Linked DNA regions of Oryzias latipes. The protein of the gene in region 2 purifies or fractionates together with the protein of the main gene of each other region. This does not show direct contact. Links are inferred from orthologs where the notes say so. Each region holds a gene or a part of one and is shown on either strand. Other genes may lie near its edges.

The links.
Region 1: the proteins of hadha (region 2) and glypican-1 purify together in Homo sapiens (co-immunoprecipitation; 3 studies listed by BioGRID and IntAct, with this or other methods). This does not show direct contact. The link is inferred for Oryzias latipes from reciprocal best matches to the Homo sapiens genes HADHA and GPC1.

Annotation. Positions count from the first base shown.
Region 1 is NC_019875.2:23,932,589-23,936,240, forward strand, and holds part of glypican-1, read right to left. Parts: intron 2,834-3,652; coding exon 2,606-2,833; intron 2,278-2,605; coding exon 2,114-2,277; intron 1-2,113. UniProt on the Homo sapiens protein: Cell surface proteoglycan that bears heparan sulfate. Binds, via the heparan sulfate side chains, alpha-4 (V) collagen and participates in Schwann cell myelination.
Region 2 is NC_019880.2:962,470-966,221, reverse strand, and holds the start of hadha (trifunctional enzyme subunit alpha, mitochondrial), read right to left. Parts: upstream 2,230-3,752; 5' UTR 2,168-2,229; coding exon 2,101-2,167; intron 1,128-2,100; coding exon 1,086-1,127; intron 1,010-1,085; coding exon 939-1,009; intron 875-938; coding exon 741-874; intron 612-740; coding exon 473-611; intron 400-472; coding exon 280-399; intron 24-279; coding exon 1-23. UniProt on the Homo sapiens protein: Mitochondrial trifunctional enzyme catalyzes the last three of the four reactions of the mitochondrial beta-oxidation pathway.

The DNA of each region.
Region 1 (3,652 bases), on a different chromosome or scaffold from region 2:
ACTGTTTATTTTTGCTTTTATACGTTAAAGAAATATAATGCCTCAACGATCAGACATGGCAAAGATCCAGAATCTCACGCTGTATAAGGCCAATCAATGAAGATACAAATCTAACAAAAGGTAATATTTAGAACAAAACATATTGTTTTTCAAATTCAGGCAACAGACTGTCAGAGTTTTATTAGCCAATAATCCACAAAAAGTCCAATAACATCTGTTTGACATCTTTCTAAAGGAATAGGCTTGATTATATAAATGGTAAAGACTGTATTCTTATCCAGTGTTTTCTGCTCTTTTCTGCCTTCCATGAAGTCCCAAAGTACCTTACAGTCACAATCACAATTCCATTCACGCCGCACACACTGCTGCTGAACACTGGCATCCACCTGAACATGGGGTTCAGTGTCCTGCCCAAGGACACTTCAGCACATGGGCAGGTGAGGTGGGAACCGAAGTGATCTTCTGATCAGAGTACAATCACCCTACCAGTGCACCACTGTCGCCCCAGTATACTTTAAAATAAGTAGACTTCATGGCCCATACAGAATTACACAACAAAACCTGAAACATTTGCAGGAAGCAGAACAGCTGGAAAAGAACAGTATTAAGGAAGAGCTCTTGAATCTGTTGCGCTCGGCTTAATATGTAGTAATAGGTTTGGTTGGAATGTGGTAATCAATTCTTACTGATATACAAAAACAAAGGCTTCTGTTGTCTTTTTTTGTACTTTTGTCTCGAGTTTGATTTATGTCATGTCAGTGTTTGGGCCTGGTTTCAATTTCTTATCATCACAGCGTGCTTGTCATTCTTCATCAGTAACGTCTAATCATTGATTTTTTTTTTCTTTTCTGCCAGACACTTGTCATTGGTTTTGTGACTGGTTTCTGCAAATATTTTGGTTCACGTTTTTTTTTTATTGTTTGAGTTTTATACTTTTAAAGTGTTTTTTAGAATATTTTCTTTGCATCCTCACCAGAAACACAAAGATATTAAATGATCATGAACTCCAGTGTAATTTATTTTGCATTATTTAAAAAAAATTAATTAACCACCATTTTTTTTACTATTTACAGACAACTAGTTAATATGAATAAAAAGTTGATGAAAGTTACAAGCATCCGTTAAAACATGAAATTATGATAGATTACATGTTTGCCTAAATAAAAATTTCCTACTTTTAACTAAATTGATCCCTTAGTTCCAGGTTTAGATGTTGAGGTCTCCTGCCTTTCCCTAACCTGCTAAATCAAGGCTTAAGCTTGTAAAAAAAAATGGCAATTCAAGAATCCTCAGGTCTCTATAAATGGGTAAGATACTACCAAACAGAGGAAGGGTGTTAAATATGTCAGGTCAGACAGTTTTGCTCTGCGTGCCAAAGTCAGCCAAGGAACACATATCAAACAGAGAGCTTCAACTAAATTCCTTGACGTGCATCCAAATCTTCTATATGTTGTTTTGTTTTTATTTCAGTTTTTATACTGACACCTTTTTCTAAAAATAATTTGTAAAATTAAGTTTTTTTCTTTTTTGAATTCCCAGTAATATAATTTTATGTAAAAGAAAAAATGTGCACATCCCTTGGGGCCACATCTTACACCAGTTTGCCTGTCCAGTGTCTGACAGGACATATTCACTGAAACATCAATACCGGCCACCTCCCTGAAATGATTTCTCAGTCCCACACTCGTCTTAACCTTACTCTTGTCTTATGTACAGAGAAGACCATTTCTCTTGGGATATATTAATGCTCCCCGCAGCCTAGGGAGACATTTTTCAGTGTGAAGTTGACATTAACTGTTGTTGCAGGGGCTGATTGTCCGCACCGCAGGCCATACTTTATGGAGCCTCTCACTTCTCCCAACATTGATCTGCCAATGCTTTATAGTGTGCAAGTGGGCTGTGTGTGCAGAGATGTTCACAAAAAGAAGAAAGAGTTGCGATCACTAAAAATAAAAGTACAAGGAATTTCATCATTGATAAAAAAATAGGTGACAGCAAAATATGCATATTTAAGTAAGATTTTTCTTTGAAGATTTTCTATGAAGATAAAAAAAGGAAAAAATAGTTTAAATGAAAGGGTTAAAGAAATGTGAGTTTAAGATGTAAGGTTTACCTGAGACACTTTGCGAACCACCTCTGCACTCTTTACTAGTCCCTGTAGAAATGAACGTGCTGCCAGGAGTGTGCGAGTCACTTCTCCAGACATTTTACGGGGTGTTTCTCCAAAAGGTCTTATCGTCTCAATCTGCTTTGACAAACACTCCAGGTAGTCTTCACCTGAAAGGAGCATAGACATTATTCAAAATCTCTTTTATAAGGTGCCATATATATTTTTAAGAAAAACTGTGAAACAAAAATCTTTTTAAAAAGTAAATTCAGCACTTTTTTTCTTTTTAAAAGTGGCCTTTCACTCGCAAATCGAGTAGAAGGGATCAAAGTTTAGTCTAAATCTGAAATTAATCTGTAATGAGTCGAGTCTTTGTTAAAAATCAAGGGAGAAAATCCAGTAATTTGTTTTAAAACTGGCAGTAGTTTTTTAAACAAAGATTGCTTAAGCCAAATTGTAACCACCACTTTGAATTTGTAGTTCCATGTATAAACATACCTAATGAAAATTGCTTGTTTTTCTGATAGACGAGCTTTTCCAGTAGCTTGGCCCAGAATTCATTTAGGACTTCTTCCAGGTTGACACTGCCACCTCGGCAGTAGCCGCTTAAATCATTGTACAGGTCAGAAAACACCTGAGTATTCATCTGGTACAGAAGACCCCAGGTTGAAGTAAAACTCTTCTGCAGCCTTGCCATGGAACGATTCAGCAAGTCCAAGAAGAAACCTAAGAAAAGAAATAAAGGAAATGTCAGTCTTTGAAGAACAGGGAAAAAGCACTAATGCTACAATGTTATTGTCCCTATTCTACGTTCACACCAGGCTCAGAAACATGCACTTGAGCCGCTGATTTGCGAGATTTGCATTGCTTAGTCATTTTGCACCAAGCCCTTTCCAACTGTGAATATGTGCCCTACTATCGGGTAGTGACACACCTGTGTGAACATCATATGCTAAAAGTGCGTGCAAAACCCCATGTTCAGCACGTTCTTGAGTGTGCCACCTATGCACAGTGTGTACGTGCCAATAGATTCACAAATAGTTGTACTTTTCTTTATAGAGCAGGCCAAAATTACATAAGTTAGCATCTCTATATTCCAGTTATTGAAGGTTAAATATGATCATTTTTACATAATACATACAAAATGATCACCATTTTTTTATTTTAGCTATATTGTTGACTGTTTTGGTCCTGGGTCAGAACAATACTCACTTAACATAACATTTGGTGTAACAAGGCTTGTAGAGTGCCAACTATCCATTTCAAATAAAAGTACAAAAGTTCTGAGAAGTGAAAAAAAGAAAAATAAATTAAAGGATTAATAAATATGAATATTCCATGCTTTGTCCAGACCACATGTTAAACATAGTTGACCTTATTCTAGTTAAGATGAAAAGAAAAGGGTTTTTGCTTGGCATTTGTGGTATGAGCCTAATTGGGATAAGGATTGGTGATGTCTTTCATATGTTGTAGTTGTTGATCTGTGAAAAAGCTTTTTTGTCCATGGAACACCACTGTGTTTGCAGGTGTAAGTGCCAACCATTC
Region 2 (3,752 bases):
TCAAAGGCGTTAGGAAGACCCACCTGCACCAAAGACAGACGTGTTCAGGGACGAAGGAGGCCAGAGAAAAACAGATCCATCAAGAACTTGGAATGCATTTGATGCACGGATGGATTCCATTACGGCCTTCTGACTAAAGAACACCTTAATCTCAGATTAAAAGGCAGATTTAGACCTTTCTGCAGCCTTAAACAGGAGGGCAGAGATGCTGGATTGGGGAGTGAAGCTGATGTTTCTGCATGTCATTAAGCAAACAGGTCACCTGATGTGAGCACCCACCATCTTGGGGAGTCTCTGCGTGCCTCCGGCTCCAGGTAAGAGGCCCAGCATGACTTCAGGAGTACCCAGAACTGTCTTCTTGCTTTTGGTTGCGATTCTGTACTGACAGGCGATGGCAAACTAAAAACAACAACAAACAAACAGTGACAACGAGGCCGAGTTCACCTCCGACAGGACAACAGGAAGCACTCACCTCCAAGCCTCCTCCTAAACACGAGCCGTTGATGGCAGCAACCACAGGTTTGGGAGATTTTTCAATCTTCTCGAACATCTTCTGGCCTTCCTGAGACAGTCTGCTGACCTCCTCTGCGCTCTTACAGCTCTGGATCATGCTGAAACGCACAACGTTTCCCAGACTCGTCACCGGATCCACACCCAAACAAAGCGTGGTTACTCAGGAAAGCTGCTAAAGCGCCTGCAGGCCGACACCAAACAAAAGCTTCGGCTGCAGGGACTCTTACTTAATATCGGCCCCAGCGATGAAACATCCAGGCTTGGAGGAGATCAGAACGGCACTTTTGACGGCGTCGTTGGCCCACACTTCCTCCATGACTTCCGTCAGGTCCTTTTGCATTTGCGTCGACAGCGTGTTGACCTGAAGACGCGCCGCAGCTAAAGTCACGCCATCGGAGTCAAACCAGCCGAGTTTGAGTTCTCACCTTTGAGTTTGGATCGTTGATTCGGACCACGGCCACGTCATCCTTGATCTCATAGTTCACGTGGGTCCGAGCTGCGAAGAGAGCAGACGGGGAAAAGGTCAAACGCCGAAGAACGACGGGACCTGAAGGCAGCAGGAGGGGAGTTACCTAGCATGGCAGGAGCCAGGGAGAATGAGCGATAGATGCTGCCTGAAAGAGAAAACACAGTGACAGTGGTTAGTAGACTACAGCTGCAGCTCTTTTCCCTTATTTAGGCTGTTTTAGCTCTGGAGCGGTCCTGTGGATAATCATGCTCGGTTTGCTTCCAGCAGAAAACCGGAGTGGCCCAAAACGCCTGGGAGAACCGTGCAGTTCCACAAACTGCTCATCTGGGGGCGCTACTTTCCCACGACCTGACCAAAAGCAGGAAAAGAAAAGCGAACCAGAACAGAAACCCCACTCTCTACAACAGAACCTGAGTTCAGGTGAGCTATCAAACCAGAACAACCCTTAAAAGAAACCGGGTCTGGATCAGACCAGAACCAGACCTGCCACAGAGAATCTGAGTCCTTCCTATGAAATGCTCCCAAAAAAAACAGTCTGTCTCGAAAACACACCTGTGGTACTCTAACAACATGTTCGGTTTCACTGAGGTGTCCTCGTGTGACAGCCGTGACCTCTCGCGCGCATGCGCTGAGCACTCTCCTCGACAATGACCCTTCACCTACATTCCCCCCTACAGACACAATGGCGATGAATGACCCTCACTTTCAGACATTTGCCTAAACACGCGCCAGATCAGAACGGATCTGTTAAACCCGCAGCCAGAACCGTAAATGGACCGGCTCGCTCAGGCGGTTCTGAATCCTAGCCACGGATCACCATTGATTCCGTAGCAGGAAGCTAATTAGCACAACTTGGAGGTTTGCGCTGCGGCTTCACGGACCAAACAAACCGGAATCTGTTTACGTTCGGAGGGAAATCCACGAACTAGTGTTTTACGACACGTTTTCTTTGAACGACACCAACACGTTTGCTTAACAGCACCGCGCTCACTTCTGCGAAGCTACAAGCTAGTTGTCTCTGTGGGAACAGAAGCTAAAGCAGACCTCGTTATCTATTACCAAGTAAAACTCCCGCCTGCTCCTCGCCGCCGTTCAAACTCCGCAAAGGTTTGTTCTACCTGAAATAAGAGCATATCTCCTCGCTGACAGCTTGGAGAGAACACCAAGGGCTCGGACACCAGCCATGTTGGGAGCGGAGGTCAGTGTGGAGCAGAAGACTACAAACTCAGTCACTTCCGGAAATGGATTTCTCCTGCTAGGATTTCATTGGTCGCTACTGGAGAATGCGGGCTTGTTATTGGCTACTTCTGAAGACCCCGTTTTTGATTGGAAGTTGTGGGTCAACACATTCCTTGACACTGAATGTCGTTTTTACAGAATAAACGTAATACTTTTCTTGAAGTTCTATACATTTTTTCACCCCCACAACTTTTTCAAATATTTAATTAGATTTTTTGATTTTAAATGGTTTATTTAAAGCAATCAAAGCAAGAATAATGCACAAAACAACACAATCTGCAGTCATACATTCATACAAAGACGTATCAAACTTAGGATAATTAGACACTAAATCAAATTATCTAAAATATGTGCAGATTATTTTCATTAGAAAAATCCTAAAATTAAAAATAACACTATATCAGAAAATATGATCTGTTATTGTCTACATTTAAACTGTTTGACAATATAGCAGTAAAATCCATGCAGTGATTTACTATTCTACACATTTCCTTTCATTCTTTGGTCACACATGAAACTTTCCTCCACCTTTCCAACCTTTCCACAGTATCATCTGCAAACATGATGGTCCACATAGATTCCTGTCTAACCTCATCCGTCAGTCTGTCCATCACAGTGGAAACAAGAAGGAGCTCCAAGCTGACCTTTGATGCAGCCCCATCTCTGTCACCCCTACAGAACATCTCACCACTGTCTTCCAGCCCTCATCCGTGGCCTGAAGATCTCCATCGTTCTTCTGTGTCACTCCAGACGTCCTCATCCAAACCACAGCTCCTCTCTGGATCCCGTCATAGACTTCCTCTAAATCTACAAAGACACAAATCTGCTTCTTCTGACCTTCTATTTTCTTCTCCAGAAACCTCCTCACATTTCTAAATTTAGCAGGAATCCGTTATAAGTAAAAAAAAAAACAACAACAAAAAAAACAGTTTCCACTTGACATTAAAATAAACCCGACTGGGAACATGCATTCAGTACATGGAAGCTACCAAAGGGGGCAGTCTGCATCCATTTAGACAGATCTTTCATTCAAAGTCGTCCAATTTGACATTCATGTTATGACACTAAAGTTTAATTGTCTTATGTTGACATTAACGGCTCTTTTTGTTTAAATGTTTGAATAACTGGTTCATTTGTGGAAACTGTTGATAAGAACATGAGGCAGAAACAAACTTGTGGCTGGAACAGAAAACCCATTTTGGCAGAGCTGTATTCTCACCTTTGCAGCATATGTTGTCAATAAATAAAATGTATGGGAAAAAAAACACTAGCTTTCACAAATGTTCTGACGAGCAGTTTTCTCTTATAATAGAACGGGGCCTGATCACTGCTGCTCGGTTCATCAGTATTGTAAAACAACTTACAGGCATTTTTATCTAGATTTAAATCTACCGTTGATTGTGTGTGTGTGTGTGGGGGGGGGGGGTAAAATACTTTATGTTTGGCTTATCTTATTTTTTTTAACATAGCAGATAAAAACACATCAACATTTTAATAAGAAAATTATTATTTTAGCGTTTTAGAAATAAAA